7 linked regions of the Sus scrofa genome follow. The protein of the gene in region 5 interacts with the protein of the main gene of each other region in a biochemical or structural test. Links are inferred from orthologs where the notes say so. Each region holds a gene or a part of one and is shown on either strand. Other genes may lie near its edges. The genes, in order: SLC22A12, CFTR, SLC15A5, RPS6KA1, PDZK1, SLC34A1 and ABCC4.

Evidence for each region.
Region 1: the proteins of PDZK1 (region 5) and SLC22A12 form a complex in vitro, tested with the Homo sapiens proteins (2 studies listed by BioGRID and IntAct, with this or other methods). The link is inferred for Sus scrofa from reciprocal best matches to the Homo sapiens genes PDZK1 and SLC22A12.
Region 2: the proteins of PDZK1 (region 5) and CFTR form a complex in vitro, tested with the Homo sapiens proteins (2 studies listed by BioGRID and IntAct, with this or other methods). The link is inferred for Sus scrofa from reciprocal best matches to the Homo sapiens genes PDZK1 and CFTR.
Region 3: the proteins of PDZK1 (region 5) and SLC15A5 interact in a test that uses a peptide from one of them, tested with the Homo sapiens proteins (2 studies listed by IntAct, with this or other methods). The link is inferred for Sus scrofa from reciprocal best matches to the Homo sapiens genes PDZK1 and SLC15A5.
Region 4: the proteins of PDZK1 (region 5) and RPS6KA1 interact in a test that uses a peptide from one of them, tested with the Homo sapiens proteins (2 studies listed by BioGRID and IntAct). The link is inferred for Sus scrofa from reciprocal best matches to the Homo sapiens genes PDZK1 and RPS6KA1.
Region 6: the proteins of PDZK1 (region 5) and SLC34A1 form a complex in vitro, tested with the Homo sapiens proteins (2 studies listed by BioGRID and IntAct, with this or other methods). The link is inferred for Sus scrofa from reciprocal best matches to the Homo sapiens genes PDZK1 and SLC34A1.
Region 7: the proteins of PDZK1 (region 5) and ABCC4 form a complex in vitro, tested with the Homo sapiens proteins (2 studies listed by BioGRID and IntAct, with this or other methods). The link is inferred for Sus scrofa from reciprocal best matches to the Homo sapiens genes PDZK1 and ABCC4.

What each region holds. Positions count from the first base shown.
Region 1 is NC_010444.4:7,556,905-7,560,436, forward strand, and holds the end of SLC22A12 (solute carrier family 22 member 12), read right to left. Parts: intron 3,447-3,532; coding exon 3,232-3,446; intron 2,758-3,231; coding exon 2,649-2,757; intron 2,428-2,648; coding exon 2,224-2,427; intron 1,696-2,223; coding exon 1,632-1,695; 3' UTR 918-1,631; downstream 1-917. UniProt on the Homo sapiens protein: Electroneutral antiporter that translocates urate across the apical membrane of proximal tubular cells in exchange for monovalent organic or inorganic anions. Involved in renal reabsorption of urate and helps maintaining blood levels of uric acid.
Region 2 is NC_010460.4:28,629,832-28,633,619, reverse strand, and holds part of CFTR (cystic fibrosis transmembrane conductance regulator), read left to right. Parts: intron 1-2,124; coding exon 2,125-2,297; intron 2,298-2,935; coding exon 2,936-3,041; intron 3,042-3,788. UniProt on the Homo sapiens protein: Epithelial ion channel that plays an important role in the regulation of epithelial ion and water transport and fluid homeostasis. Mediates the transport of chloride ions across the cell membrane.
Region 3 is NC_010447.5:56,344,437-56,349,182, reverse strand, and holds the start of SLC15A5 (solute carrier family 15 member 5), read right to left. Parts: upstream 3,313-4,746; coding exon 2,952-3,312; intron 1,475-2,951; coding exon 1,252-1,474; intron 1-1,251. UniProt on the Homo sapiens protein: Proton oligopeptide cotransporter.
Region 4 is NC_010448.4:83,923,245-83,927,536, reverse strand, and holds part of RPS6KA1 (ribosomal protein S6 kinase alpha-1), read right to left. Parts: intron 3,158-4,292; coding exon 3,077-3,157; intron 2,902-3,076; coding exon 2,822-2,901; intron 1,411-2,821; coding exon 1,304-1,410; intron 40-1,303; coding exon 2-39; intron 1-1. UniProt on the Homo sapiens protein: Serine/threonine-protein kinase that acts downstream of ERK (MAPK1/ERK2 and MAPK3/ERK1) signaling and mediates mitogenic and stress-induced activation of the transcription factors CREB1, ETV1/ER81 and NR4A1/NUR77, regulates translation through RPS6 and EIF4B phosphorylation, and mediates cellular proliferation, survival, and differentiation by modulating mTOR signaling and repressing pro-apoptotic function of BAD and DAPK1.
Region 5 is NC_010446.5:99,651,999-99,656,290, reverse strand, and holds part of PDZK1 (Na(+)/H(+) exchange regulatory cofactor NHE-RF3), read right to left. Parts: intron 2,579-4,292; coding exon 2,360-2,578; intron 1,736-2,359; coding exon 1,445-1,735; intron 1,440-1,444; exon of another isoform or gene 1-1,439. UniProt on the Homo sapiens protein: A scaffold protein that connects plasma membrane proteins and regulatory components, regulating their surface expression in epithelial cells apical domains.
Region 6 is NC_010444.4:80,560,263-80,565,296, forward strand, and holds the start of SLC34A1 (sodium-dependent phosphate transport protein 2A), read right to left. Parts: upstream 3,119-5,034; 5' UTR 2,968-3,118; intron 2,062-2,967; 5' UTR 2,041-2,061; coding exon 1,932-2,040; intron 1,781-1,931; coding exon 1,631-1,780; intron 1,547-1,630; coding exon 1,418-1,546; intron 1,347-1,417; coding exon 1,203-1,346; intron 312-1,202; coding exon 200-311; intron 76-199; coding exon 1-75.
Region 7 is NC_010453.5:64,135,023-64,139,314, forward strand, and holds part of ABCC4 (multidrug resistance-associated protein 4), read right to left. Parts: intron 3,049-4,292; coding exon 2,898-3,048; intron 2,485-2,897; coding exon 2,365-2,484; intron 1,292-2,364; coding exon 1,181-1,291; intron 281-1,180; coding exon 180-280; intron 1-179. UniProt on the Homo sapiens protein: ATP-dependent transporter of the ATP-binding cassette (ABC) family that actively extrudes physiological compounds and xenobiotics from cells.

The sequences.
Region 1 (3,532 bases), on a different chromosome or scaffold from region 5:
GAAGCTAAGGGCCCGGCCACCAAGGACTTCGTTGTAAGAGGACAGATTCCTGGCCTCTGCCACTGACTTGGTGCACTCCTGTGTAAGAGGTGGTCACAGTGCTCTTGGTTCCTTCATCCTATGCATCTGATATTGAACTTGACACTGGCCTGACGTGGCCTCCTTGGGATCTGGCTGGCCTGGCAATGACTCCCACGATCATCCAAACAGCGTCTGGGGGTAGCTGAAATTCCAGGCACCCCGCTCCTCAACTGGTATTTGCAGGGCTGTGTCAGGAGATTCCACCCGCAGGGGACAAAAGGCAGGGGTCGGGGAGGAAGCTGGCAGCGAAGTCTGGCGGATGCCTTTGACCTTGAAGACCTGCTCTGGCCACGAAAGCCCCCAGGGGAGGGAACACAAGCTCAGCCAGTGCTGGGCTCTTGTGGGAGGACACTGTCCTCCTGGAGGTGAGTATGGAGCCCTGGTGCCTGGCACTCCTCCTCCCACATGCCCTCCTGGGTGAGCTGCTGGCCTGGCCAGAAGCAGGAGAATGGCCATCTTCCTGCAGCCCTGGGTTCTGCCTTCTGGACACCTTGGGGTCCCCAGAATGCTAAGCAAGGCTAAGAAAGGCATCTGGGGCTTGGCCGGGCAGCAGGCAGACGAGAAAGATCGCCTACGGCAGCCTGGCACAACCTCACCTTTGGGCATCTTTCCAAACATCATCTCCCTTTGTCCTGGGGGTCTTGAGTGAGGGGCGGCCACAGGCAGACAGCTAAAGGACACGAGCTCCCCTTCCCCCTGGAGGCACAGGGCCTGCAGCAGATAAGACCAAGCCCCGGAGTGATCCTGTCTCCTGGGGGCAGGGAGCCTCTTCCCGTTTCCCATTGACCTTCTCCTGTGTGTGCGTGCAAGCGCTGACAGCAGACCCTGGGGGCTCATCACTGGACTCGGTTCCTTTATTTGCTCTCTCTCTTGCCCAGTGCCCCTCTGCTCTGCGTGGGAGCTGGGGACACGCAGAGGAGGACCACCCCAGCCCTCTAGGAGCTCATAGGCTGGGGTTGTGGGGCGACAGGGATGTGGCTATGGCCGCGCTACAATTGCATGAGCACCTGGGGCTGAGCCTGGGGCCCCAGAACGAAGCCATTGCCCTGGGTCTGGGAGGCTGCGTGGGAGTTTGTCAGGTAGTGGCAACCGTGGCAGAGGCATTCTGGGCAGAAGACACGGCTGCGGGGATGGCAAGGGAGTGGGCACGTGGCTGGAGTGTGGCGAGAAGTGGGAGGGGCCGGAGGCATCTTTCTTGTGACGCTGAGGAGCTGGGCGGGGCCCTCCGGGTGGGGTGAGAAGCAGGGAGGTTTTGACCTCGGGCCTCGGGCTCAGGCTCGGGGGGCAGCGAGCAGTGAGGGAGGCACAGAGTCCGGCTCTGCTCCTCTCTGCAGCCTTGAAGGAGCTGGGCGCCCGGCAGCCTCCTGCCAGTCACAGCATCCTTTGCTCCTTCTGTGTTGGAGGTGGCTCCTTCCTTAGCAGGGGGAGGCTGGCTCGGCTGCAGCGGCAGCCCCGGGCCCTCTGGAAGTCAAGTCGGAAGCCAAGGCCTTTGCTCTCCTTCCTCGGAGAAGAGCCTCCTCCCATGTCCCTTGGCAGGCTTCACAGGAGGCTTAAAATCGTGTGCATTTCAGGACGAGATGCCCTTGAGTGTCACGTGTCGCCTTTTTTACGGCCCTGTCCAGGAAAGACAGGGAGGGTTATGTCTCGTTGGTGCGACCCCTGACCCTTGACCGAGTCCATCCTGAGGACTCAGGAGATACTGCTGCCCTGCCCTCGGGGACCCAGGACTGAGTCTCTGAGCTCATCGCAGGGGAGGGATGGGGCATCTAGGGGCTTTCTCAGTAGAGTAGGGGTCTGCCAGGACCTCCAACAGGTGGTCACCCTCGGCTCTCCCCACTGCAAAGTGGTCCAACACGCCCCTCCCCTTGACCTCTCTCCACGTGCAGCAGGTGCAAGCTGGGCCATTCAGATCTCCCATAGTGGAAGGAAGGGCGGAGGGCGAAGTCCACGCTGTCAGCCTGGAGCCCCAGCCCTTGGTCCCCACTCTCCTAAGGATGAGCTGGGCCACCCTGGGCCAATCCTGTCCCTCTCTGGGCCTCTGCTTCTTCCTCTGTCCAGCATCGGGGGCGGGTGGCCAGGCCTGCCCTGTTCTGGGGTTCTCTAGAGGGAGGAGGGGACAGTCCCGGGGCTGGGTCCACTCACTGGCTCTGCACGTCATGGATGGTGTCGGGCAGCGGCAGGCTCTGGGTCTCGGGCAGCAGCAGCGCAGCCAGGCCAATCAGCACCGGCACCGCCCCGTACACCAGCAGGGGCAGGGAGGCGCCGTGTACGCCCAGCAGCCGGACCAGAGGCCCCAGGATGGCTCCCCCTCGGGCTGCCATCTGGCCCAGGCCCACCGCGGTCATCCTGCCGGCACAGATGCACCTGTGAGGGGCCACACTGCCTGCCCATAGCCTTGACCTCTCACTCCGACCCAGCCCTGCTCAGCCCTAGGAGGCACAGTGGCTGGGCTGGGCTGCACCTGGGGAGCACCGTGACCACGTGAAGGAAAGATTGGGGGCCCAAACACCGGATCTGGGTGGAGGCCACCCCCACCGCACCCTCTCAGCCCCCCTCCTGGGGCTCACCTGATCACGGTGGGGAAGAGCTCCCCAGTGTAGACAGTGATGCAGGTGAAGGCGGCCCCCACCCCGCCGAGCCCCAGTACCGCCAGGGCTGAACGCAGGGCCCCCATCTCTGTGGATAGAGGTGAGGTTAGTGGGGGCGTGGGCAGGTCCCTGGGGTCAAATGGGGACTCTCTCCTTGACCTTCCAAATGTCTGCAGTCACCTCCACCTGGGTGACCCCAGATCCCTGACATGTGCTGTGTCCTAAGTGACACCATGGCCGCATTCTCTGCCCCCGACCCCCGTCTGCTCCCCACCCAGACACCTGGAGCCAGACCCTCCACTTCTCTGCCCTCCCCTCTCCTTGCGATCCATCACCGAGTTCTTATTCTCTCTCCACAAATGTTCACGATGTTGCCTGCTCCCTCCAACTCTGCTCCAGCCACCACCATCTCTCCCCCAGGCCCCAAGAGCCTCCTTCCTCCCTGGGCCCTGCTTAGTCCAGGGCCCTTAGAGGAGGGGGACAAGGGTCTCTCTTCATGCGTAAGCCCTCCACGGAGGGAGCCTTTGGCCATGGCCTCTTGCGCCCAGGCCTGCCCGCTCACCGTGGGGCACCAGCATGTTGGCCAGGATGCAGAGCCCCGCCAGCACCAGGGACGCCACCTGCATGGGCCGCCGGCCCAGGCGGCTCAGTAGCAGCAGCGTGCAGATCTTGGCCGGGATGTCAACAACCCCGATGAGGGCCTGGAGCAGGAAGATGTTGCTGCCCAGGGCCTGCAGGTCCAGGGCCAGGCCGTAGAAGGTGAAACCGAAGGCAAACCTGGAGGGCAGGGGTGGGCAGGTGAAGTCAGCCTGGAGATCGGGCTGCTGGTTTGTTTACAGACCTGTTTCCACCCTCTTCCGCAG
Region 2 (3,788 bases), on a different chromosome or scaffold from region 5:
ATTTACATAAATGCTTCTGTGCCTATGTACCTGACTGCCCTAAAGGATGATGAGGAGTGTCGGGAGAGTACTCCAGGCAAAGCAATGGCACAAACCTGAGAAAGTCAAGGTGTATAGGCTGTGTGTTTAATACCGCTGGAAGTAGAAGTGGAGGAGGGGGCTCAATTCTGGATGCCTTAGGTGCCACGTGAGAGGGTTCGATTATTCTGTATGAAGAAAGCCACAACAGGATGTAAAACAGAGATATATATATGGTCAAACCTCTCTTTTAGAAGGATCCCCAAGAGGATGTCAGGTGACAAATTGTCCACTTGAGATCTACAGCCTGAAGCTTGAAATAATAAGGGCCTGGACTAGGGTTGCTGTAATAGGATTAGCAAGGAGGAGGTGGAGGATATCAGAAGTATTTGGGAAGAGGTCCAGGGCTGGAGAGAAAGATGAAAAATCATTGGCTTATTGGTGGTAGTTGATACCCCAAGAATGAATGAGATCTCAGAAGGAGCATTTGGAAAGTAGGGAATGAGGAAAACTAATACTCAAGGGGCAGGAAGAAGGAGAGTTGTCTACACAAGATAATAGGAAGAAATGGTCATTGAGGTTACGGTTTCTCATAAACCAAGGAACAGATGTTTGAAGAAGAAAAAAATGTTCTGTGGTCTCAGGCAGTGGAGACAACAGGCGCATAGTCATTATTTAAGATTTCTAGATGACAAAGGGGGTAGATATTAAATAACAGCTAAAGGAGAAGCTGGAGGCAAGCGGGGGGAAGGGGGGTTGTGTTAAGAGGGGAGAGACGTAGTAGGTTCACAGGCTGAAGCCAAGGAAAACAAAAGATGAAGAAAGAAAGAGAACAAGTCCTCCAGCTTATTGCCCAGTAGTCCTTGTTCCCATTCTCAGCTCCTTGGATCCAGAATTAATTTTATGTTGGAGTCTGCCAGGATATGTTAGAGTAGTCCCCTTTGCTTAATTAATATGTTTCCACCCCCTACCATCTCAGAAACTCTTTTCAAACATTAATGAATTTTCACAAAGTGAGGTTTCTTTCATGAGAAACCGTGACAAGGAAAGGGGTATTGTCTGCAATACATATCATGAGCTCACAGTTAATATTTGCTGAACAAACATGGCAATGTGGGCCATCCATGAATTCATCACTGAACTCATGAATGTCTTTCATAAGGCCATTATCTTGTGGCCATTAACTCTGCCTGTGTTACAGATAGGTGGGAGTGCATCGTACCTTCCAATACTAAATCCAGACTTCCCCCAAGATAGGATATAATTACCTATCTATCTCTTTAGCCCTCAAACACTCAGCAATACTTGGCACAAAATATATATCAATGTATATTGAGTAAGTGATGTGATGAGGCAAGGTTTTATTTTTATCTTCTTTGGAAAGAATGAGTTTCTATATCTCATTTGCATTTTCAACCAATTATTTTCCTTTCCAGCTTAAAAAAATAAGCCATTGACCCTAACACAACTCTCATATTTGACCCCAACACTTAAGCATCTTTAAATCTCCAGTAACATACAGCTATTTCAACTCCAGTTATTTTTACTTTATAGTGTCATCAATTTCTTAAAATCAGTTTGTACAAATTAAAGAGATGAAGAGTGAGTTGCCACAGGCTGTTTTATGTACCTTCTCAGTAGATTCTTTTATACTACCTTTCATGGTCTATTATGACAGAAATGGAAAGTAGTATAAAAGAATCTGAGAGTAACTGCATTCTATATATATCTTTTCTAGAAAGCACTCAATTGTATTGTAACTATCTAGGTATGTTTTTACAAACCCTAATCTTTGCCATGGACCATTTATCATTTCTTCAATTCCTTTTGGAGGATCTGACACATAATAGGCACTCATTTAAAATCTCATGAAAGAAAAAGTACACAGCTGAAACAATCCGTAGACCAATGTTTTAAAGCTGCAAGATTATGCAGAGTCTGTTGTTCAGTTAAACCCAAATAGCAGGAGTGTGGTGGGTTGGTATGAAATTTAAACTTTGAGAACTCCTGTGTATCTTTTCAGGTTGTCAGCCTCTTAAGTGTGTTTAACCCTGTAGAATGTGAACTCCTCCTAAGCACAGTGCTTTTCATCTTTCTTTTATGCAGGTTGGACTCAGATCTGTGATAGAGCAGTTTCCTGGGAAGCTTGATTTTGTCCTTGTAGATGGGGGTTGTGTGCTAAGCCACGGCCACAAGCAGTTGATGTGCTTGGCCAGATCTGTTCTTGGTAAAGCAAAGATCTTGCTGCTGGATGAACCCAGTGCTCATTTGGATCCCATGTGAGTTTCAGAATTCCTGCTTTTTAATAACACGGTGGGAGTGGAATCATTGAAGCCTGCTTCATATTGACACAAATTTCTATCAGGCTATCATGTCTGTAAGTAGAGGACCACCCTCTAGATATGAAATAATGACCCAGTTTAACAGTTATTACTTGACGTGAACACAAGTGTTTATTTCCTAGTGTAAGAGCCACATGTTCTCTTCTGAGTGTGAATTTGGAATTTCATACAAAGTCTTCCCCCTTATCAGTGTGTGATGAAATATCCAGTTAGGCATAGTTGGATCCTTATGGTTTTCCTTACTATCCCATTTATACACTAGAAAATACTTATAGCACAAAATAAAGAACTACTAGTGATTTGACATAATGAAAAATACATTTATTGGGGAATTTTTTTTAATTTCTAAATTTTTTCCAAATATTTTTCTTATTTATTTATGAAAGCTTAGAATCTATGTCATGGTTGGAAAGCTGATTGTGACTGACTCTATGTCAACATTATGTTAAACGTATTTGAGGAAAAATGAGTGATTTAAAGAACTAAATTGATAGAACAATAGGTATGTTATCAAGGATAGAGACAGACTATTATTGTTCTGTAATGTTATATGTGGTATTTTTTTTCTTTTCTAGAACGTACCAAATCATTCGAAGAACCCTGAAACAAGCATTTGCTGATTGCACAGTAATCCTCTCTGAACACAGGATAGAAGCAATGTTGGAATGTCAACGATTTTTGGTGAGTATTTATAATTTACCTAGGATCTTATGTCTCCTTTGATTCTTGATAATAATTTCATATGTGAAAGTTCCTGCAAGTCACAGCAACGTACAAGCTCTTCCTTAAAACATGTGGCATACAGCTCCCAGATTTACTTAAAATACCTGCTCAAGTTTCTTACTTTGATCTGTGTAATAATGTGAGGTTGGAATTCAGCAACCTCTAAAATAGCGGCATAGTACTAAGTGACATTAACAAATTGGAACAGGTATACTTTTTGAGTCTTTTATTTGGGGATCAAGTCATGAAAAAGACTAAGTCCTGATGCTTTCGGTAACTAAATCTCTCTTGGATGGGATCCAGGAGGACAGGCCTGGATCATCTTCCAATCTGCTGTAGGATTTAATGCAGTAGTGAAAGGTTTATTTCATTTTTCTAGCCATTTTTTGGAGCTCAGCTTAGTGCCTCTCCCACCCTCCTTCTCATTGTACTTTCAAAACTGTCACAGATTCTTTCAAGTGATGTTTACAAATTCCCTCAGGTTTAGTCACAAGGAAATTCTGAGGATGAGGTGGACTCATTTCTGTTAAGGCTTTTGAGGCTCCTGGAGGTAAATGCTTTCCCTGGTGAGGAATGTTATTACCGCTATTATTACTAAGCTTCAAGTGACACGTTAGGGGACCGACTCACAACCTCTTGCCCGACTGTGGTCCGGTTCAACTTGAGCCTGTACAAAAGGTGCCGCAAACCCAGGCACATCCTGAC
Region 3 (4,746 bases), on a different chromosome or scaffold from region 5:
TTGGGCAGGTCAAGGAGGCAGAATTTGCTATAGGGAAGTAAAGAGTCTCTTCCACCTTTGGTGAAACTGCATTATTCTCTAATGTTTGGACTTAATCCAAAATAGGCCTGAGTGCTTTGCAATATTAATATAATGGGTGGGGGTAGAGAGAAAGAAGAAAAGAAAGAAAGATGGAAGGAAAGAGAAAAAGGAACTCTCTTAGATAGCTACACATATCTAGATAATATTTATTCCAAAGTTTTTTTATTTAATCACTTAATATGAATTTTCTGTAAATATTTTGTCTGATGTTGCCTATGCATTGCTTTTATCGACTGCTAACATTGATGGAAAGACAGCATATTTTAGAAAATGTTGCTAACCCATTTCAAAGAGAAGAGGAAGCAAAAAACAATATATATATGTACATATATGTGTATATATGACATATATATATATATCAGATCTATTTGACATCTAGTGATCAATAATTCTACTAAATGCTGAAATACTCAGCCTCAAGATCAAAATTTCAATTTTTTCTTGGATTTTTTTGATAAAAATTGGTTCCTTCAAAACACATAAAACTGTACAAGAACTCACTGGGAGAGACAAAGATTCATAGATGGTGGTTTGGTTTTCATGGAGTATAAATTCTTTCAAGAGTTGGAGGTAGAGTGGATGTGAAATAGAGGTGCTAGTAGATGTTTTAACAAATTGTAAAATACTTCTTCAAGCATTATCATCTTCTCTCTGAATTTATAATCCCTGCCTTCTAAGTCTATTACCATATAGACGTAACTAATCATAATATCTACTGCTTATTGATTACTTCCACTGCTACATTCTTGGCCAGCAATACACATATTATCACTTATGATAAAACCCAAGAAGAGGTATTATTATAACTCTTCAGCAGTGGTCCAACTCACAAAGAACAAGGTCAGGCAATTTTGTGAAGTGGAGTTGAGATTGCCGCCAAGGCCTATTTGGTTCCAAATCCACATTCTATTCATATGAAAAACCACTTCACACATGTTTACCTGATGCTGATAAGCTGTGTGGGTCTATCCTTAACTCATAGGCTCCCATAATTACTGGCTAAATCCTTGTCACTACCCAGGTATTGTCCCACTGTCATCTACCCAGCCCACTCGACGACAAAGGTTAAACTACCACCATCAAAATGGGACCAGAGAGCAAACGATGAGAAACGCCCAAAGGGAGAAGAATGTCATAAACCTGTTTTCCCTCCTAGCCCATGCTACCTACCAGTTAAAAACAGACATTCGATTCTGGGGTCCATACTCCTGAAGACGATAAGCCCCCAGTGGACAGACAATGGCTCTTACTCCTCCTGTGCCAAGGCAGAGGGCCACAAGGGCTACGTGAAACAGCCTGTTCTGCTCCTTTTTTGGTATGTTGTTAATCATATGGTGAGTGCCTATGTAGAAATCCTCCAAGGGAAAAGCAGCCACAGATAACAAAGCAGTTCCTAGAGATAAAGGAAAAAGGGAATAAATATGCATAGACCATTGACTCAACAAACCATATCATAAATAAGGCGTTTCCTCTGAACAGAGCCTCATTATGTGATTGTCTTATTAAAATATTTCATCATGGCAATTCTGGAGGTAATACAATTTTCCTCAATGTAAATATTTCCCTCAATATGTGTTTTTGATGAATCTATAGAGTCCTGGTTTTTTTCCCTTCAAACTTGAGCTATTTTTTCTCTCAAAATGTTTAAGCAAATTGTGTCTATTTTGACAAAATTAAAACAACTCAGAAATACCTGATGTGAGAGACTAAAGATGTTTTTAGTCCCTCTCCTCCCAGAAAACCACTGGTAAGAGTTGTTTGTTCTTAATCAATGGAATGAGAGAAAACTCAATGATCTCAGACACTCAGAAACTTGTTAAATAAAATGTTTTAAGAACATTATTGTAGAGGAGATCATAGCCTCTCTTTTCTTTTTCTATTTCTCTTTTTCCTTTTAAAGCCCTTTTATTTCTCTCATTTCTCATGCAATGCCTTGAAGCCACACACACAGGTGAGGAGCCCGGGGTGGGGGTTGTGAGGTGAGTGTTATAATACAAGTTGGGAGGAGAGGAGTTTTTTAGTAGTTTTCTCCATCACCTAGACCAGCATCCTGAGATTTTCTCTTGTCTCTCTAAGCTATCATTGTGATTGTTCATCCTGTTTATTGAAGCACTTCCCCAATGTGTTCATCATAGTTTCAGTAACTCCTTGTTGTCTAGAAGAGCAACTTGGACTTTCCAGCCTTAATTTCTAGACTGTTCATCAACTTGATCTCTATACCTTATCAAACAAACTTGCTATTTCCCCAACATTGCTTGCAATCACTTCACTCCCAAATTTTTGTAGAGATAACTCTTGTTCACTATGAAAAGAAGCAGAATGTAGTGTTAAACTCACTCACTCATTTTGTTTTTTTAGCATGTAGCCGTAGTTCATAATAGGGACATCATGTTTTCAAATGCAATCTTAATTACTATATGGCAAATGGAAAGCCTGCCTTTTGATGAAAATGTTTCTCAATTAGTCTGCATGAACTTCGAAACACCTTTTTAGCACATTTCACTTTAGCTGTGAAGCAAATGAACTTCATATTTTCACACAGAATTTGTCACAAATTTGGGCTTGCAGTAAGAAGAAGGGAAAGGAGTGTGTTCTATAGAGTAGAGAAGAGAGACATGTGAAGAGATAATTATTATAAAATATAATTAGTGCAATAATAAACATATCAAAGTATCCTATAACACACACACACACACACACATACCAGTGTCCCTCAAAGAATACAGAGACTAAGATAAATTGAAACAACAGTCTTAGCTCATTTATTACACTTTACGCTAAAAGGAAGTGGGAATAACATAAACCAAATATTCTAACAAAAATACCGTCAAATAAGTTGCAAAGCAATGCAGTCAGAAAAGGGCACTCACCTAGGAAATGCAGAAATAAGCAAATATAGACCAGTTTGTTTCTTCCCAGGCAGATGTCAGCAAGCCATCCTGCAAACACAGGGGTAAGGATTGATGTCCCAATAAAACACAGGTTCAAAATGGCGGCCTGATAATTGTGGTAGCCAAGCTTGACGGTGCAAAAGGGGATCATATTGCAGACAACTTCAAAGAAAGTGAACCTCTCACACAGCTCCACTAGAAGCAAACAGATTCCAAGCTGAATTTTTTTCACAGAGTATGATGAAGAGAAATAACCAATATGGCTTACAGTTTCCTCCTTCTCAATCCTGTGATTTAAAGATACTTTCTCATCGGTGTTTTTAAAGCCTATAACAGACATGACTACCCTCTTTGAATGCTATGTATGCTAGTGGTTTGAACCTGGTGATTTTTGCCCCTGCCCCTCTAATGAAAAAATAAATAAGATCTTTGCTTTGAATTTCACAACTCTGTGCTAAAGTTTCATAAGGTTTTTGCACATTAATGTTGTTCATTTTAATGATCCAGGAGCACAGGAGAGGAGACACGAGTGTTTAAACCATGGTAGTTCAATGTAGCCCAATCTGATTTGTTTGTCTAATTACTTACAGGCTAAATTAGGCTCTTCCTCCAAAATTATATTGATTTACATGAATCTAGTACCATAGGTGTGGAAACTCATCTGCCTCACACTGATAAAGGTTTAAAAACAGAAGCAGAAGAAGCAGTTTTTCAGGAGAATTTGAGCACTAGATCAAGAAATAATTTGAGTCTAATAATTTCTGATACCTTAATTAAACAAGCCAGAACAGTACTAAGAGATAAAGCGTGAAAGGAAATCTGTTTTGAGGGGGCAGGATACCTTATCGTTATTACATTTCTTGTTATTTTTGGTTTGAATTCTGATAAGAAAGCTAATTAGGTAACAAAAGTGCTAGTACATTTAGGTAACAAGCAGAGTTTGCAAGAAAGTAATTTAAGTGTACTAATGAAAGGAGAAAATATTAAACAAAAACCCTCTTCCTTTAAGTTGACCCCTTGCTTGTAGAACAGCCTCTCAGAGGAAATCAGAATCAAAAGGTGCTATTTGACTCATTATTAGTCAGCAACAGGGGTACAGCAACTATCCCATATACATGCTTTGGGGAATATTGAATTTGGAATCACCCTGACCCTCCAGCTGAGTGAATGGATGTTAGCATTCTATTTTGGAAAGCGGGTGAGCACAAATTAAACTTAAAAAGCATCAGTAAAAGAGAACACTTTAACAGTTAGGGCTTTAGCTGCAAGGACATAGGAAGACAAGGGAATGGAATTATTGGGTCAAAGTCATAATCATTCAAAACATAGGGGGTGAGTATAGGAATGTTATTTTCATGTTGCAATCAAAAGCAAAAGACTGATCAAGGCTTTTGACTCTGGTTCATATCTTTGACCTGAGAGATTGGGAGCAAAACATTCTGTGTTGACCTCTTCTAAGAGTCTCATTGTAAAGGCATCTGTTTTCATCCTCTCAGCCTTGCTTCTCCCCCTCTTCAACACCCCGTTTTTCCTTTGTGTAGAGCGATCATGCAATTTATTATGCAAACTTGGACATGTTTGTGAGTGAAAGCGATGCTTCTTATTCCTGAAAAACAGATACACCCTGGGGTTTGCCTAGGGCAAACCCCAGTGTGTGGTCATCCTACCTTTGGGGGATGGCTTCCATCTGTAACAGGAGATCCTGGTGGAGCTTTCTTCTGGTCTGGGGATCAACCCCATGGTCTAAGACAGTCTTTTTGCTGTTTTCCTGCAG
Region 4 (4,292 bases), on a different chromosome or scaffold from region 5:
CCAGTGAGCTTGATGTGGCCCTCCTCATCCAGAAGGATGCTGCAATGGAGAGATGGGAGTCAAGACCCCTCAGCCATGGGCCCTTGGAGGGTGCTGGTGACACCTTGGGGGCTGTGGAGGTTGGGCCCAGCCCAGAGCAGGTGGTCCACCCAGGTCCATCTGATGAATGGGTGGGTGGAGCGGGTGTTGGTGGTGCTGTGCAGGTGTGTTGCCTACCTTTTTGTTAATTCTTCTTTTTTTTTTTTTTTTTTAGGGCCACACCCGCAGCATATGGAAAGTTCCCAGGCTAGGGTCGAATTAGAGCTGTAGCTGTCAGCCTATGCCACAGCCACAGCAATGCAGGAGTCGAGCCGCATCTGTGACCTATACACCAGCTCATGGCAATGCTAGATTCTTAACCCACTGAGTGAGGCCAGGGATCGAACCCGAGTCCTCATGGATACTAGTTGGGTTTGTTACTGCTAAGCCATAATGGGAATTCCCTCTTGCTAATTCTTGAAACAACTGTGTGAGGTAGGTACTTTCATAGCTCCATTTTTTTTTTTTTTTGGTCTTTTTTTGCTATTTCTTTGGGCCGCTCCCTTGGCATATGGAGGTTCCCAGGCTAGGTAGGGGTCTATCGGAGCTGTAGCCCGGGGCCTACGCCAGAGCCACAGCAACGCCAGATCCGAGCCGCGTCTGGAACCTACACCACAGCTCACGGCAACGCCGGATCCTTAACCCACTGAGCAAGGGCAGGGACCGAACCTGCAACTTCATGGTTCCCAGTCGGATTCGTTAACCACTGCGCCACGACGGGAACTCCCTCATGGCTCCATTTTTTTAACAATGGGGAAACTAAGGCTCAGGGGGGTGAAATAGCTCCCCCTGGTCATAGAGCCAGGCTGGTGGAGGCAAGATTTGAATTTGGGTTTGCCTCACTCTAAAAGCCAAGTCTCATTCTACCTCAGCACCTGCCTCTGGCTCCCAAGTTCCACTTAAGGATATTTAGATGTTAAGGAAAATTCTAGAAAGGATTATATCAAGGAATATCCTTTAATGGGGGCATCTCAGATGTCACACCAGGGTAGCAAAATGGTAGGTAACACCCAGCTACCGAGGAGACTGGTCCTTGGTAATGGCAGCGCTAGTGATCAGGCAGCCCACTCTGCTCCACCCACCCATTCATGGGGCAGCCCAAGACAGGGACACTTTCTTGGGGAGAGTCACACCCACCCCTGTTAGGCTGGCTCTGTCCTAGGAGAGACCCCAGGGCCTGCCTCTGAACCCTAGGGAGGCCGGGCGGGGCTGGGCCTTCACTCACTTCTCAGGCTTCAGGTCTCTGTAAATGATGCCTAGGCTGTGCAGGTGGTCCAGGCCCAAAGCCAGCTCGGCCAGGTAAAACTTCACATCCTCCTCCGTGAACATAACCTGCAAAAGGCAGGAGGGAGCTTCAGCTGGATCGCCTCTTCCTCGGGAGCTGGGGCACTGCGCAGTCAGCAGCTTCCTGGTCCTCCTTAGGGATTCCAGGGCCACACACCCTTCTCTTTATGAAGGGGTTTGCAGAACGAAATGACTAATATCCAAGTCACTCATGGGAGCATTGAAATGCAAATAGCAAAATCCTGGAAACAGCCCAAGGGTCAAGCAGCAGACTAAATGACTCCCCCCACATAACGGAGTGCTATGCAGCCGTAAACCAGAACAAGGGTTCCTCCATGTTCTGATACGGATCCATCTCCAAGACATACTATCATGAAAAAAGCAAAGTACAAAACAGTATATATGTAAGAAATATATATTGTATGCAAGAAAGTAGGGGGTCAGGATTCAGAACACAGGCTGAATGGGTTTGTATTTCCAAAGAAACGTGGGAAGCTTAGGCAAGAAATGAATAAAAATGTTTACCTATGGTGGGGGTTGGGGGTATGGGGCTGGGGTGGGAAGAAGACATCTCAATGAGTATCCTTTCTTTTTTTTTGGGGGGGGCGCTTTTTAGGGCTGCACTTGTAGCATATGGAGGTTCCCAGGCTAGGGGTTGAATCAGCTGCAGCTGCTGACCTACAACACAGCCACAACATGGGATTCGAGCCTCGTCTGTGACTTACACCACAGCTCACGGCAATGCCGGATCCTTAACCCCCTGAGCGAGGCCAGGGATCAAACCTGTGCCCTCAAGGACACGAGTTGGATTCGCCAGCCACTGAGCCATGATGGGAACTCCAACATTTTTCTTGTTAATCATGTATTACCTATTCAAACATTAAAATAACATTTAAAAGTTTCATTTTCTTCTAAAGTTTAAGTTGTATTAATGGTCCCCACTCCTTTTTGTTGGTTGTCCGCACAGCATACAGGTGCAACCTACACCACAGCTGCAGCAACGCCACCTGTGTTCTGGGGCTGGAGAGACGCCACCGATCCTGTTGCACCACAGTAGGAATCCCAATGGCCCCATTTTTATATCTGGTTCAAATTATTTCACATCAGTTCAAGATCCTTTTGGTTAACAGTGGACATAATATTAAAGTATCGAGCTTTCTGGGTGGACCTGGGCCTCTTGCCATCCTCCCAGCCCCACCCAGGGAAGCCCTGAAGGAATGGAAATAAAGAGGTGAGAGCCACCCTCAGCTCCCCGGAATCAGGGTGGCATCAGATCCAGAGCCTGATTCCCTTCAGCCCAACTTAGGGGAAACTCTCAGAGGCTTTGCCAGTGAATGGCTTCTGTCTCAGGGTGGGTCAGGGTCTTCTGCGCAGGCCTGGGGAGAGGTTGAGAGGCCTCACTGTGCCACCAGCCCCATCCTGGGTCCCTCTGGCAGTGGGCCCCAGGGAGTCAGCTCACCTCTTTGGAGAGCCGTGTGAAGAGGTCCCCGCCACGCAGGAAGTCCAGAATAAGGTAGAGCTTGCCCTCGGTCTGGAAGGCTGGGGAGAGGGGAAAGGCAGTGGTGGAGCCAGCTGGGCCCTGGGCCCCGCCCTCCGCCCCAGCTCCCTGGGTGTCAGACGGGGGGGGGGGGTCCTATGGGGAAGGCAACAGCCCAGCAGCAAAGGCAACGGCTGGCAGGTGGAGTGGGAGCTCAGGTACTGTCTGTAGTCTCACCGTAGTGCAGCTTCACCACAAACGGGTGGTTTACGTCAGCAAGGATGTCTCGCTCCATCTTAGTCCGAACACGGTCACGCACTGGCCAGAGGACGAAGGCAGTTACCAAGGGCCTGGCCACCCAACACAGCCACCCCCCAGCCCTGGCTAAGAAGGGCTCTCTTTTCTACTTGTTCCTCACATCTCTTGGCAGTGTCCAGGGCTGGGCCCTTGGTGCCCTGCCCATCTCTCTAGCCCTGTCTCTCACCAGGCCCCAGGGAAACTATTCAGTGCAACCAGTGTGAGCAACCTGTTCCTTGTGGGCCCTCAGTCTCTGCCCCTGCATCTGCCACCCCTGCCCCACCCCCGGGATGCCTTCAGCAGCCTCCTCTCCATCTGGCATAAAAATCCCCAAATCCAACCTGGAGCAAGCAGATTCCCTGGGCCTGAAATTCAGACCCGTGGGTCTGAGCAGGCATCCCACAGACACTTTTGATTTGTTTTGTTTTTTTAAAGAATAAACGTCCTGGACTGAGGGTTTGGGATTGGCAGGTGCACACTGTGGTATATGAAATGACTAGCCAACTGGGAAAGTCACAGAATTCCCGTAAAGCACAGGGAATTCTACCTAACGTTCTGTGATAATCTATACAGGAAAAGAATCTGAAAAAGAATCTGAAAAAGAATGGGTGTGTGTTTATGTTTAACTGAATCACTTTGTCGTACAGTAGAAATTATCACAACATTGTAAATCAACTATACTTCAATAAAACTTTAAAGAATCGGAGTTCCCGTTGTGGCTCAGTGGTTAACGAATCTGACTAGGAACCATGAGGCTGTGGGTTTGATCCCTGGCCTTGCTCAGTGGGCTAAGGATCCAGCATTGCCGTGAGCTTCGGTGTAGGTCACAGACATGGCTAAGATCCCGCGTTGCCGTGGCTCTGGTGTAGGCCAGCGGCTACAGCTCCGATTCGACCCCTAGCCTGAGAACCTCCATATGCCACAGGAGCGGCCCTAGAAAAGGCATAAAAAAAAAAAAAAAAGCTGAAAAAAAAAAAGAATAAAAGTCCCAGGAGTTCCTTGTGGCTCAGTGGGTTAAGTATCTGGTGTTGCCACTAAAGCAGCCCAGGTCGCTGCTATGGTGATAAATCGATTCCTGGCCTAGGAACTTCTGTATACTGGGTACAGCCAAAAAAAGAAAAAAGGAAAAAAGAGAAGAAAGAAAGGCCCTAAGAAA
Region 5 (4,292 bases):
GCAAAGTGATATTATGAAGAGGTTGGGCCTTTGGGAGGTGAAGACATAGCTCTCATGACTGAGATTACTGCCCTTATAAAAGAGTCCTCCCAGACCCCTTAGCCCCTGCTACCAGGTGAAGGCATAGCCAGAAGTCAAGAGCCTGCAAGCGAGAAGACCTTCACCAGACACTGAATCTATCAGTGCCATGATCTTGGACTTCCCAGTCTCCAGAACTGTGAGAAATAAATGCTTGTTGTTTATAAGCCACCTAGTCTATGATATTTTGTTTAGCAGCCCAAACAGACTAAGCATGTGTTCATTAAAAATGAGTATTTGGGGAGTTCCCGTTGTGGCTCAGTGGTTAACGAAACCCATTAGGAACCATGAGGTTCCTAATGCGATCCAGCATTGCTGTGAGCTGTGGTGTAGGTTGCTGACGTGGCTCGGATCTCACGTTGCTGTGGCTATGGCGTAGGCCTGTGGCTACAGCTCCGATTAGACCCCTAGCCTGGGAACCTCCATATGCCGCAGGAGCAGCCCTAAAAAAGGCAGAAAAACAAACAAAAAAAAAATGAGTATTTGGGATTTCCCTGGTAGCGTGGCAGGTTAAGGATCCTGTGTTGTCACTGCTGGGGCAAAGGTCGTTACTATGGTGTGGGTTTGATCCCTGGCCCTACAACTTTTGCATGCTGCAGGCATGGCCAAAAAAATAGTTTTTAATGAGTATTTTTTTAATATATTATCAATCAGTAGAATTAATGTAATGGAAAGTGTATAAAGCTTTTATTAGCGTTTTGGCTTTGCTATACATTCCCTTTATGAACTTGGATAGGTCAGTTCGCTTTTGGATAGGTCAGTTCTCAAGTTCATCTGTGAAAGGTTGAGACTTACCAAGGAATTTATCTAATCTAAGTACATATAGAATAATGCTTACTCTTCCCTAGTAATAGACTTGAATAATAAGAACAATACTGTCTCTAACCACCACCATTCATTTCACTCTTACCATGAACTAGGCACTGTTCAAAGCACTTTAAAAATCTTATTTAACATAATCCTGATAACAATCCTACAAATTATCCTTATTTTAAAGGTGGGGAAAATGAGGCACAGAGAATAAATCCATTTGGCCAAGGATGATAAATGGCAGATCCAGAATTTGTACGTAAAGAGTCTGATTCAGGTTCTTCTGGTGGTTCCTGTTATAATTTTGATAAGCTTCTGTTATTTCTCGATTTATGAACTTTAGGCAATTACTGTCAATTCCACGCAGTGAAAAATAAGAAGTGTGTTGTCTTTACCTTCTCTCCCCCTCAATAACTGGATGTGCTAGTTCTTGTTACACTGTAATTTTCTAGTATTTTAGGAAATCTGAGATAAACATAGATGTGTAATGCGCTTATTAAGGACTTTACTATACTCTGGTTAGTCAGATCATTAAAAGAAATGTGTCATCACTCACTCTTTCTTTTGCCGTGTGCGAGTCATGCTCCGATTCCTCCAGCGTTCCTTCTTTAGAATCAGGGGCGTCATCTAGTGGATCAGCCATAGAGGAAACAATAGGGATTTTCTTAGCCTGGAAATAATCATAGGCCTTCTTTCCACAGACTAGGAGCGTGACATTCTTGCCACTGCTCTGGATTCTGTCCACCACCTTCTCATAGGGCTCATCCAGCACATTCACTCCGTTCACTTCAATGATGACGTCCTCATCCTCCAGCCCAGCCAGGTCAGCTGGGCCGCCCTTCTGTACCTGTGAGCAGAAGTCCTGAGTTATCACCTCCAAACACGGACAACAGAAGATTAGACTAGCTATTCTTCAGAGGAGAGGTGATGTTATTTCACCTTGACATACAGAAGCTGAGAATGGTGCTCTAGTGCTTTTCTGCTTGTAAAAGCTACAACTTCCCCACTCAAATGAGTAGTGTCACAGTGGTTGAATATCACATTGTATGTCTTCTGGGGTTGAAGGCATTAGGTTTCATAGGTCCCCCTTCTTCATTCCCAACTTGAGAGCTTTCGCAGCAATCATCTCACTGTCAGTCCCTGCAGGGTAGGGGCATTATGCCAAATGCACAGAAGCAAACAAGTATCACTCCCAGTCAGAGTTGTTAGTGACTGTCAACTGCAGTCGTGCCAACTTACTCTGTTTAAAGTAATTAAAGAGACAATTATGTGGAACAGATGTCTAGGAAACAAAAGATGTGAGCTTGGGACATGCTAGCAACTATCTTAAATGGTACGGGACCGTTATAGCACATATTTGAACCCAAGGAGACCCTCAGTGTACTTTTTACTGAGGCATCAGTGAATGAGAGAAACTGAGGCCCTTCTAACTGGCTGTGTTCATTGGGCTGCCAGAACCAGATCACCATACCTCTTTGACGAACGAGCCTGGCTGACCCCGAATCGCATTTAAGTGAAAGCCATAGCCATCTTCACCTTTAACCAGCCTGCAGAGTTTAGGTTTATGATCTCCCACTTCCTCTGTAGTGTCTGGACTGGAGACCTCCAGAGGAGCAGGAGCAGGGGCCTCCGTGACAGAACCATTGGGCAGTTCTTGACTTTGATAGTAGAGAAAAGGAGAAATACGAGCCTTTTGAAAACAAAGGGGGAAAAAACATTAGAAATTGCACTTTAAGTGTGCTGGTTTAATTTACAAGGCGTCATACATGTTCCACTCCTCTTCCAGATACATCTGGTTGTGAGCTATATAATTATGACCCAAACAGAAGAGATATAAAGCAAAATTGAGCTTGTTAAGGAGTAATGAGCATAAACATGTAAACAAATGTATGTATACATAAAATAAAAGCAGTACAGAATGTTGTACAAGAATCCAAAAATAAGTCTACCAGAATTACTGGGTTTTGTTTCCATGATATTGAGCGAGTCACTGAACAAACTACAGGCGTTCTCCTTGCTGGGAAATTATCAACATTGACTTGCCCAGTATTCTGGGCAAAGTAGGTTCACCTGGCCCTTCCCCTTCAATAAGGTGGTCTTCAGAGCTTAAACACATTAGAGAAAGTAAAACATGAGACAGTATTTTTATCACTATCTGAAGCACAGTAATTAATTGGGGAGAGGGGTAGAGGGTGGTGGCAATCACACAGTTGGTCACATACGGTAACAAGTTAATTCCAATGCTTTGCTACTTGGTTCTCTCACCTCCCCCTCCAATCTTGAATACTGTTTATTATTGTAACCATCACCTGACATTTCTGTTATACTAGACTCACTATCTTTAAATACTTCTAATCCATCTCAACTCTAGACAATCCATATGAAGAAGGCAGTGATTGTCTTAAATGCAAAAAGAGGTAGAGAACAGGAAGCATGTGACTGGGTTTTTTGTTGTCATATATATATATATATATATATATGAATATGAGAGGGAATAAAGAGTTTAGCTGGCTGTTGGTTTTAGTTGTGAGGATTAAAAGAGTATATTTGGGTACCATAAGGTCTAGGATCAGCAGCTAAATTGCTGCGCACAGCTGTCCAGGACATTTGTTGGCAGTGAGTAGAAAATCAAGCAATTGAAGATGAGTACAACATCCTCTGCCCTTGAGCTTACTGTTCAGCAGCCTGGCTGCAATTGGATTTGGGGTCCTGGTATCATCTGTCCTACATCTGCCTTTCTAAACAAGCGTAGCACCAGCACAGAACCTCCTAGTTACCCAGTTTAGCTAATAACTTCAAACATTTCAGTGATATACTTGCAAATGCTCCGCATTTCTTTCTCTCTTTAGAATGTGGGAAATTATCAGAATGACTCATCACATGCAAAAAATGCCTCTGACATCACTACCCAAACAAGCAAATCAACCGTTATCTGACAGTAGCAGCTAATATTGAGGCCAAGTACAGTAACATTAAACACTTACTGAGCTTTTACTCTTTCTTCATTCAAACATTTGGGTGTCTAGTAGATGTCAGGAACTGGTTTAGGAGTTGTATTCACTGATATATATCAAAGATCCAACCACAACCCACCTACCTACCTATGGAACTTACTTTGGGGGGTATAGGGTAGTGGGTAAAGAGGGAGAAAGAAGGTAGAGACAGTCATTTTTCTAGATCCAAATTCTCTCATTTTAACCAGAACATTAAATTATAGTTAAGTCATTCTGTCATATGACTAGGAAGTGTTGAAAAGGACTTCATACCGGAATTCCTTTTAAACAGCCACAGCAGTGACCTTACGATTTTTGCTTGACCTTTTCCACAAACTGGGAGCCCCCCACTCTGCAGAGCTTGTTCCTGGAAGCTTCAGTTGTCCTTAAGCCAAAAGCTAGCTCCCTATG
Region 6 (5,034 bases), on a different chromosome or scaffold from region 5:
GCAGCTTCCAGGGGCAGCAGGACCACAACTGAGAGCCAGTTAAAACAGTCGTGCACGGTGGCCCCCGCGAAGGCCCTGGGCAGGGAGGCCGTGTTGCAGGATAGGCTCAGAGCCAGGATGTGCTCAGCCTGGGGGCTCCTGGCCTGTGGGACCACCCTCCTCCTACAAGGACAGGCCCCTCACCGCTCTACCCTCTTACCGCCGGAAGTCAGTCCTGTCCCCCGCCTGCATCAGGGCCACGATGGTGTTGGTGACCGAGGTGCCGATGTTGGAGCCCATGATGATGGGGATGGCAGAGCTCACCTCCAGCACTGATAGAAGAGCGTGCCTCCTAGCTAACTGTTCAGGGACTACCCACCTCCTGCCCCACCCCTCCTGCCAGAACCCCTACCCACATCCAGGCCCATGACTCTGCCCAGCCTTGGCCTCTGCGGCTGTGTGTTTATGTGTGTGCATGCTTGTGAGCCAGTATACATACACTGCACCTGCATATGTGTAAACGTGTGCGTGGGTATGTGTCCACGAGGGCATGGGTCGTATATGCAAATAATATGCAAATGTGCTTGTGTGTGCTCATGTGTCAGCTTAGCTAGTGCCCAGTAATTCAATCCAACACGAATCTAGATGTTGCTGGGAAGGAATTGTGCACATGTGATTTGCCTCAACTGTTGATTGACTTTAGGGAAGGAGATCAACCTCAGTAATCTGGGTGGGCCTCATCCAATAAGACTAAAGGCCTTCAGAGTAAAACTGAGGCTTCCTTAGGCAAGAAAAAGTTCCAGCTGTGCACTGAAACAGCAGTTTCTGCCCAGGAGTCTCAGCTTGCCCTTGCTGACAACCTGCACTACAGATTTTAGACTTGCCCAGCCAGCCTCACAATCAAGTAAGCCAATTTCTTGCAATAAGTCATAGATCTGTATGTGCTTCCTGCAGCTTTGGTTTCTCTGGTTCTGTTCCCCTGATGGATGGAATGAGCTACTGTGTGGTGACATGAAAGTGTGCCCTCCTGAGGCTCTGTTCCTAATCAGCCATTCTTCCCAGCTCCTGGGATATCTCCTCCTGGCTGAGATTCCAGGCCATGCTTTGGAGGATGGAGTGCAAGATGCCAGAGCTGCCCATTGCCCTTTGGCCCCCTGTTCCCACTCCTGCCCTTCCCATCCCAGCCCCCTCCCTCTTTCCCTGGCCCTGGTGGGCCAACTCACAGCCAGAGGAGACCATGCTGACAATGATGGATGTGGAGGTGCTGGAGCTCTGCACCAGCACGGTCACTAGGATCCCCACCACCAGCCCTGCTACTGGGTTGGACAGGATGGCGTTGTCCTTGAAGATGTCGCCAGCCACCTTTCCTGGGGAACATGAGGCAGCATTTTCCGAGACTCTTCAGATCCCTTCCCTGGTCCCCCCACCACCACCCTACCTCCAGCCAGCTGGAAGGCTGAGCTGAGCACGTCCAGGGAGCAGACAAAGAGGTAGAGGAAGGCAAGCATCAGCGGCACCTTGAGGAGCATTGAGCCAGCCTGGCGCAGCTTCTGGGCCAACCCTGGCTCTGGAGACAGGCCAGCAGTGAGCACAGTGGCCAAAGTCTGAGTCAGTGACTGGCGGCCCACCTTCCCCCCTCACCCAGGCCCACCTGGCTTCTGTTCCTCCTCCAGGGCCAGCTTGGAGGGCAGCGGGTCATGGCGCTCCAGAACCTCCCCATAGGAGCAGCCGTGCTCGGTGAGGGCCACAGGGCCCAGGCTGGGGAAGGCATAGGCTGAGGTCCCTGGGATCCTGTGCAGGACTGGGGAGGGAGGCCGGTCACGAACTTCCTGAGGCCCCGTGTCACTTCGGAGGAGGGGGGAGGGGGGGTGGGGGGGAGAGAGGAGGCCTCACCCGGGATGTGGGCGACCAATCAAGGGCAGGCAGGGACTCAGAGTAGGAATAGCACTCACCCTGCGGGCTGGGCACGTAGGCAAAGGTCGCCCCACGCATCATGTGCCCCCCGCGGACTGGGAGCGGGGAGATAGCCGGGCCCCCCAGCCTCTCTCCGTAGGACATCATCCTGGGTACACTCTGTGGGCCCTGCACATCAGGGGGCCCAAACTGAATGACAACTGCTGTGTCACAGAAACACACACACACAGCCATTCCCCCCCACATCCACACACCCATTCACTCATGTGCACAAACACCCATGGTGTGTGATCCCAAATACACACCCAGAAAAGCACACTCAGGTGGTTGTCACACATTTGGGGATTCGTTCATTCAGTCATTCGTTCGTTCATTCATTCATTCAGCAAGTATTTATTTACTCTATCTCAGGCACTGAGCTCAACGCCAGGGTACAGCTGGCTAATACAGATGCAGCTCTGCCCCCATGAAGCTCAGTGTCTAGTGGGGAGACACATGTCAATGAAATAAGCTCTCAGATAGATGGAACATGACAATGGGAACAAGTGTCCTAATGACAGATACAGGTGCCACCAGAGTGCTTCCTGGGGCCAAGAGATTCACCCTCACAAGTGAAGTGCTTTCCCCATCCATTCCCACCCCCAAGCAATAAAAAAATGTTGGTGATCTTTTTGCCATGAATGAGGCTCAGACCAGGACTGGTTTAATTAAGCAGAACCCTCACCCTGTCCCCAAGTCTGGGAAGACCTCGGCTTGCCTTAGGCCCTCCTGAACTGCCCCAGGAGTTCTCTGCTATTGAGGTGGGAGTGCCCCAGTCTGCTTCAGGACCTCCTCCCTCCACCCCAACATTATTCCAAGGGTCCTGGCTATTAGGATTGGGGGCAGGTATGCAGAGCTGAATGCCGGGCCCTGGAAGAGCATGAGTCCTTTTCACTCTGGGGGAGTGAGCCAGGCTTGGATGGGACTAAGATGTGGTAGGGGACAGGGACGGAGGCATGGTGAGGACAGAGGTGAGGGGCTTGTTTCCACCTAAGTGTTGGGGATGGGTTTAGGATGTGGGGACCCTGGACTCACCTTGGTGTTCTGTGTTTCAGCTCCTGTTCAGCTGCTCAGGGAAGCCCTAGGAAGGGCTGGGAGGGACCAGGAGGGAACCTGGGACCCTCCCCTTTATACCCTCGGGTCAAGGGCAAAGTCCCTAGAACCCTAGCTGCTCTCCCTCTGTTCCCCCGATTAACCTAACCCCCTAGATTCCTCCCAGTTAATTGCTAATCGTCTGCTCTGCAAGGGGGAGTCTGTGGTCAGGCTCTCTCCTCCCCCGCACAGATACTCAGCCTGAACCATGATCCAGATTCAGCAAGGAGAGCACTGAGGCATCCCACACCCCCAGGCAGAGACCCTAATATCACTCAGGTGCCTTGTTCCGAGGGTCCCCTGAGATTTCATGGCTCTGGCCCGTTTTCCTTATTCTTGGCCTGACAGTGCTCCCCAGGGAATGGCCCAAACACCCTTGAGCCTTGCCTTCCATCAGGGTGTCTCTGGGTTTGTCTGTGTGACTTGAGTGGCATTTGGAAAAGAGGGAGAATGTGAGGGAGGAAGCAACAGAAGACACACCCAGAGAGGCTATTTGTGCTGAACTGTGGGACGTCCATGACCACAGATCCAGGATGTGAGCCTGGAGAATGTGAAGCCTCTGGCCAGATAGGGCAGGGCCTGGTCTGCACTTTAGAATGGTCTTGGGGTTGGGGGTGGGGTGGCGTGGTATGTGTCAAAGGGAGCAAGTCCAGGGTGGCACAGCAGGTTAAGGATCTGGTGTTGTCACTGTAGTGGCTCAAGTCACTGCTATGGTGAGAATTCCCTGGCCCTGGAACTTCCACATACTTCGGGCATAACCGATAAAAAGGCAGGGGGTGGGAGGTGTGAGTCTGGAAGGAGAGATTGCTGATGTGATGGTCCAGGTGACAGATGATGAGGTCTGAATCAAAGTGGAAAGAAGAGGGATGGAGAGGAGAGAATGCATCCTAGGGATACTTGGTGTATCTTTTTTCTTTTTCCTTTTTAGGGCCACACCCGAGGCAAATGGAAGTTCCCCATCTAGGGGTTGAATCAGAGCTGCAGCTGCCAGCCTATACCACATCCACAACAACACCAGATCCGAGCTGCCTCTGTGACCTACGCTGCAGCTTGTGGCAACACTGGATCCTTAACCCACTGAGCGAAGCCAGGGGAGGGTGCGAGCAAGAGGAAGTATGTAATGATTGGGTTTCTGGATCAGGAAGCCAATGATGACACAGGTCTGTTGCAGAATTCCTGAAACCCAGACAGGAGGGTTAAGGAGACTTTTTTCTCTTTCTTGGGACCTTGGAGCCTGAGTTTGGGCTTATGATCACAGAGAGATGAGAAGGGGGTGCCCCTTCTAAGGGATTAAGATTTTATCAGATCAGGAGTTCCCATTGTAGCTCAGCAGTTAACGAATCCGACTAGGAACCATGAGGTGGCGGGTTTGATCCCTGGCCTCCCTCAGTGGGTCAAGGATCTGGTGTTGCCATGACCTGTGGTGTAGGTTGCAGATGCAGCCCAGATCCCAAGTTGCTGTGGCTTGTGGTGTAGGCTGGCAGCTACAGCCCCAGTTAGACCCCTAGCCTGGAAATCTCCATATGCCTCAGGTATGGCTCTAGAAAAGATACACACACACACACACACACACACACACACACAAACACGATTTTATCAGATAAAAAAAAATCAAAAGCATAAAAAACTTAAAAAAAAAGTAGGGAGAGTTCCCTGATGGCTCAATGGGTTAAGGGCCAGCATTATCATTGCTGTGGCTCTGGTCACTGCTGTGGCGGGAGTTTGGTCCCTGGCCTGGGAAATTCCACATGCTGCCAAAATAATACATATTTTATCAGATTCAGGAGTGGTGGGTCAACAACTCCTCCTGGTTCACCAGCCACCCTTTGATCCCTCAGGACCCCCTGAGCTATGGCCCTTTGCAACATCTTACACATTTTAGGGTCACTCAGACCCAGCCTTCTCCATCAAAGAGGATGGACATTTTTGAATAGTTCCACCTTAAATATGAGTGCTTAATTTACAGAACTTTGGGGAGTTATCTACCTCATAGAGCTCACAATTGACTCT
Region 7 (4,292 bases), on a different chromosome or scaffold from region 5:
GCATCCAGAAGACTGAGAAAAAGATGTATATATTTTATTTTACATTAACTTTAAACAGATGGGAGTCTGTTAGCTACAATGGAAAATAACGGTTTCAGCTATTTTACGTGAGAACTGCATGCAGGTCGTTCAATAGAAAGAAGAATTGAAAAAGCCAGGAAGGCTACGATAGACATCACCATGTTCTCCACTTCGGCGCTTTGCCTGACGCACCACTGGAACATGCCCATGAGCGAGAGGGCGTAGGACAGCGCCAGGCCCACCTGCCCGGCATCCAAAGCTGCAAGAGAAGAAGCAGAAGAAGAATAACATCAAGGCCACGCTTACCCTCAAGCCCGGCCACTTCCATCACTTTACCAAGACTCCCTTGCGATTTTTAAATCATGTGCGTATGACAATAGCATTACTTGTACTTTGACTATCTACGGATGGACTCGATGATACGAAGGGGAAAAAAAAAGAAAAACAGACCAAAAAATCCAAATCGGAAGAATGCAGAAAGCTATTCAATACACTTGCACAGCACCACACAGGTGGGGGAATCGTGTTATTATTCAGACTTGCGTCATTATGGTCTCACTGATAATCTCACTTTCTACGTCCAAAGTAGCCGCAGCTGGAAACCACGAAAAACAAGGCAATGGGTTCTAAGAACACCAGTGCTTTGAAAACTAAAATAATACTCTTGACTGTTCCATTATTCAAGATTGTAATTCTGGGTTGTTATGACGGAATAGTTAGGGACGGTGACTTCATGCCAGGCGCGTCAACGCCTGCTCTTCTGGTACCCACAGCAGTGAGGGCAGTGTTTTCTCTTAGAGAATCTTTCTCACCTCAGTCTATCAGGCACTTGCAACCGCAAGATCCAAGCAGCGCTTCAGCTGAATCCTAAAGCGCTGAACCTACACAAAAAGCAAGTGTGCTTCTCTCCTCCCAAATATGGTCAGTTTGCTAAACTGGTGTAGACCTCGACCCACTCAAAAAAGATAAAAGGATAAAAGGTGTGCTTAAGACCCAAATGACTCCTCCGCCTGAGCCCCACACTACCAATGCCTGAACACATGTCATGGGGACCATACAGCCTCTGATGTTCGACTAGGTAGCAAAAGTTTCCCTTAATAACTGTAAATGCAGTTATATAAACTGCGATCGTAGCACAGTTATTCACATCTGTACTCACTTTTTGACAGAATCAGGGACCCGAAGGCAACAACAATGACAAACATGGCACAGATGGCATCCAGACGCACGGCGAACCATCGGGACGTGGTCAGAAACAAGAACCAGGCCTCTGGATTTGTGAAGCGGAATAAGGAGAGTGAATAAGCAGAAACACCATCTTAACCGCTTTGAGTAGGGGAGAGCTCTGTGCTAGGTTGAGCGACAGAAGATTGTGACACAAAGTAGGACAGCCAAGTTGAACATGTGAGGAGCCTGAAGAGTCCAAAAAGCAAGATTTTGACACAAGAGGACATGTGGGACACAGAGGAATCAGGCCAGGGGCCTTGTGAGACGCAAGCACGGGAGACTTCAACCCACGGGGTATAAACAGAAATATAACTGTAATAAAGAACACGGACAAACGGTACAATGGGTACATTCGCTGCAGGGCTGGGCCTCGGTGTCAGGCTTATCCTCTCATAGTGGCAACCGTTCCCAGTTCTCTGAGAGCAGAGCGCAGCAGCTAACAGGATCTGCACGTGGCTTGCAAAATGCCTTTCTTAAGCTCGAAATACAATAAAGATTGGAAAGGTGGGCCAGGATTTTTACAGACTTAGGGGAAATTCTGAAATTTCTACCTAAGGAAAAAATATCACTGCTGCAAAGAATAACATACATCAAGTGGGCGGAAACTCGGACTATGAGGCAGTTCTTTTCCTCAGTCACTTAGGCCACCTTGCATGCTTTGCAAAGAGAGGGGCAAACTACAACCTGGGGCCAGGAATAGCCCATCACCTACTTTTGCAAATAAACTTTTACTGGAACACAGCCATGGCCATTTGTATTATGTTTGCCTTGCTTTTCTGCAACCTGATTAGATACAACAGAGACAGGGTGGCACACAAAGCCTAAAATGTTTACTTTACTGTCTGGATCTTTTAAAAAAAAAAGGGTTACTGAATGCTGCAACAGGGTCCACAAAGCAACAGGGCACCATGATGCAAGGACCGTGCAAACCAGTCAGGGGAGTAAAATAGCGGTGTGACTGGGGACACGGAGGGAACGGAGAAGATGCTTTGAGGAAGGGGTGGGGGAGGATGTGCAGAGGCAGGCAGCGCAGAGAGAGAGCCACCTGAGAAGGAGGTCAAGCCGCAGAAGGCAGCATATCCCAACTCTTGAAATTATTTCTAGAAACGTACAGACCTGAGTGCAAATCCTGGTGAGCGTCGAACAGCTCCTGAAACCTCTGTTCAGCTTTGAACGCCCGGATGGTCCAGAGTCCCTGGAGAGAAGACGATAAGTGCGAAAACACCGGGCTCCGTGCTGGGGAAGCAGAGACACGACAGAGAAGGTCAGGGAGCCTGGATGCCAGGAAACAAACGACCTCCCCCACCCTGGGGTCGCAATTCCCACCAAAGGGCACACCGGGAGCTTCCTGGGGGGCTGCCTGGAGGAGGAGGGATTACACCCCTTCTGGAAAGGAAGTAGATACAGAGAACTATGGAACACAATATACCTCTTTCTTGGCTTGGTTTCTAGAAAGTTAGTATTAATTTGCAGCAACCATCCAGTCAAGGTTTCTGACATAAACATTGTCCAGATAACTTCTTTTAAACATAACAATTCTACTTCATGATTTTGTCTTAATAATGATGGTTATTTATTAATATTTTTACTAATTACAGCATAAATGGAAGCTAGTTTGCATTGTCATCCCAGAGGGCCCAGGTGCTCACTTGTAGCTTCCAGGCGTTTCACATCTCGTGATGTCTGTAAGAAATATCTCCGAAGAACAAAGAAAATGATGCCAAGGGGAATCAGAGGAATCGCAATCCAAGGAATCACCGCCACCGCGACTCCCACCACACCCATCACTTGTAGAAATGTCTGAAATAAAGAAAATAGATACAGAGCCCTCTCTATCAAACATTCTTATCAAAAATAAGTGTTAATGGGTTGATTTTTTTAGGCTTAAACTCCTTTCCACCAAAGGCAAGTCTGAAAAGTAGGGGATGCGTTCCTATCCAAGAAAAAAAACAAAAATTTAGGTGGTCCTCATGTTTATTGCAAGCTTACTATGTGCCAAACATGATTTTTAACAGATGGACTATTTCAGACTCAGACAGCAGGACCTGAGTTCCAAATTATGAACCAGTAGGTATTACTAGAGCAAGCAGGTAACACAGATGAGGAATCCAAAAGCCTCAACTATACCTGTATGGATAAAGAAAGGGTTAATTGCAAATTCCAAGACCAGGAAAGGGAGAAAAATTCAAATGTAGACCTCTGGAAATGAGAATTCCTCTTTCTAGGTTGGGTTTTTTTGGTTTGTTTGTTTTTGTTTTTTCTTTGCGTACTTAACATTTGCTGAATGTGCAGGGCTGTGCATTCAATACTTCACTCCTGTGAACTCACCATTCCTCGCAGTACCCTTACTAGTAATAGTCCAGTCTCATTTTATAGATGGAGACACTGAGGCACTGGGAGAGGAAAAGCAACTTGATTGAGACCACAAAGCAGAAGCCATGGATCTCAGGAACCCACGTCAGAAGCCATTATGATAAACATAAACTTGACCCCGACATACAGGGCAACCTTCTATCATTGTGCTATGTATTTTAAATATTCATTTCAAACAATTCTTGGGTGAAACCTTTCTCCTGAAAATACGCAATGATCTTTCACAACTCAGAGCCATTCGTATATGTATGTATATGTGTGTGTGTATACATATTTCTTTGCTTTTTAGGGCTTCACCTGTGGCATATTGAGGTTCCCAGGCTAGGGTTGAGTCGGAGCTACAGCTGCCAGTCTACACCATACCACAGCCATTCTAGATCTGAGCCACATCTGTAACCTACACCACAGCTCACGGCGATGCCAGTCCTTAACCCACTGAGTGGGGCCCGGGATGGAACCTGCGTCCTCATGGATACTAGTCAGTTTGGTTTCCACTGAGCCACAACGGGAACTCCCTCAGAGTCATTCTTTACTTTGTAGAGAATGACAACCCACACCTGGAGAACCACCCTTCAGTGTGTTTTGGGTGCCAGCGGCCATGGAGGACAGGACATAAATAGATTTATGGGCCCAGAGAATCCTAAGAATCTCATGAACCTGAACGCTAATAG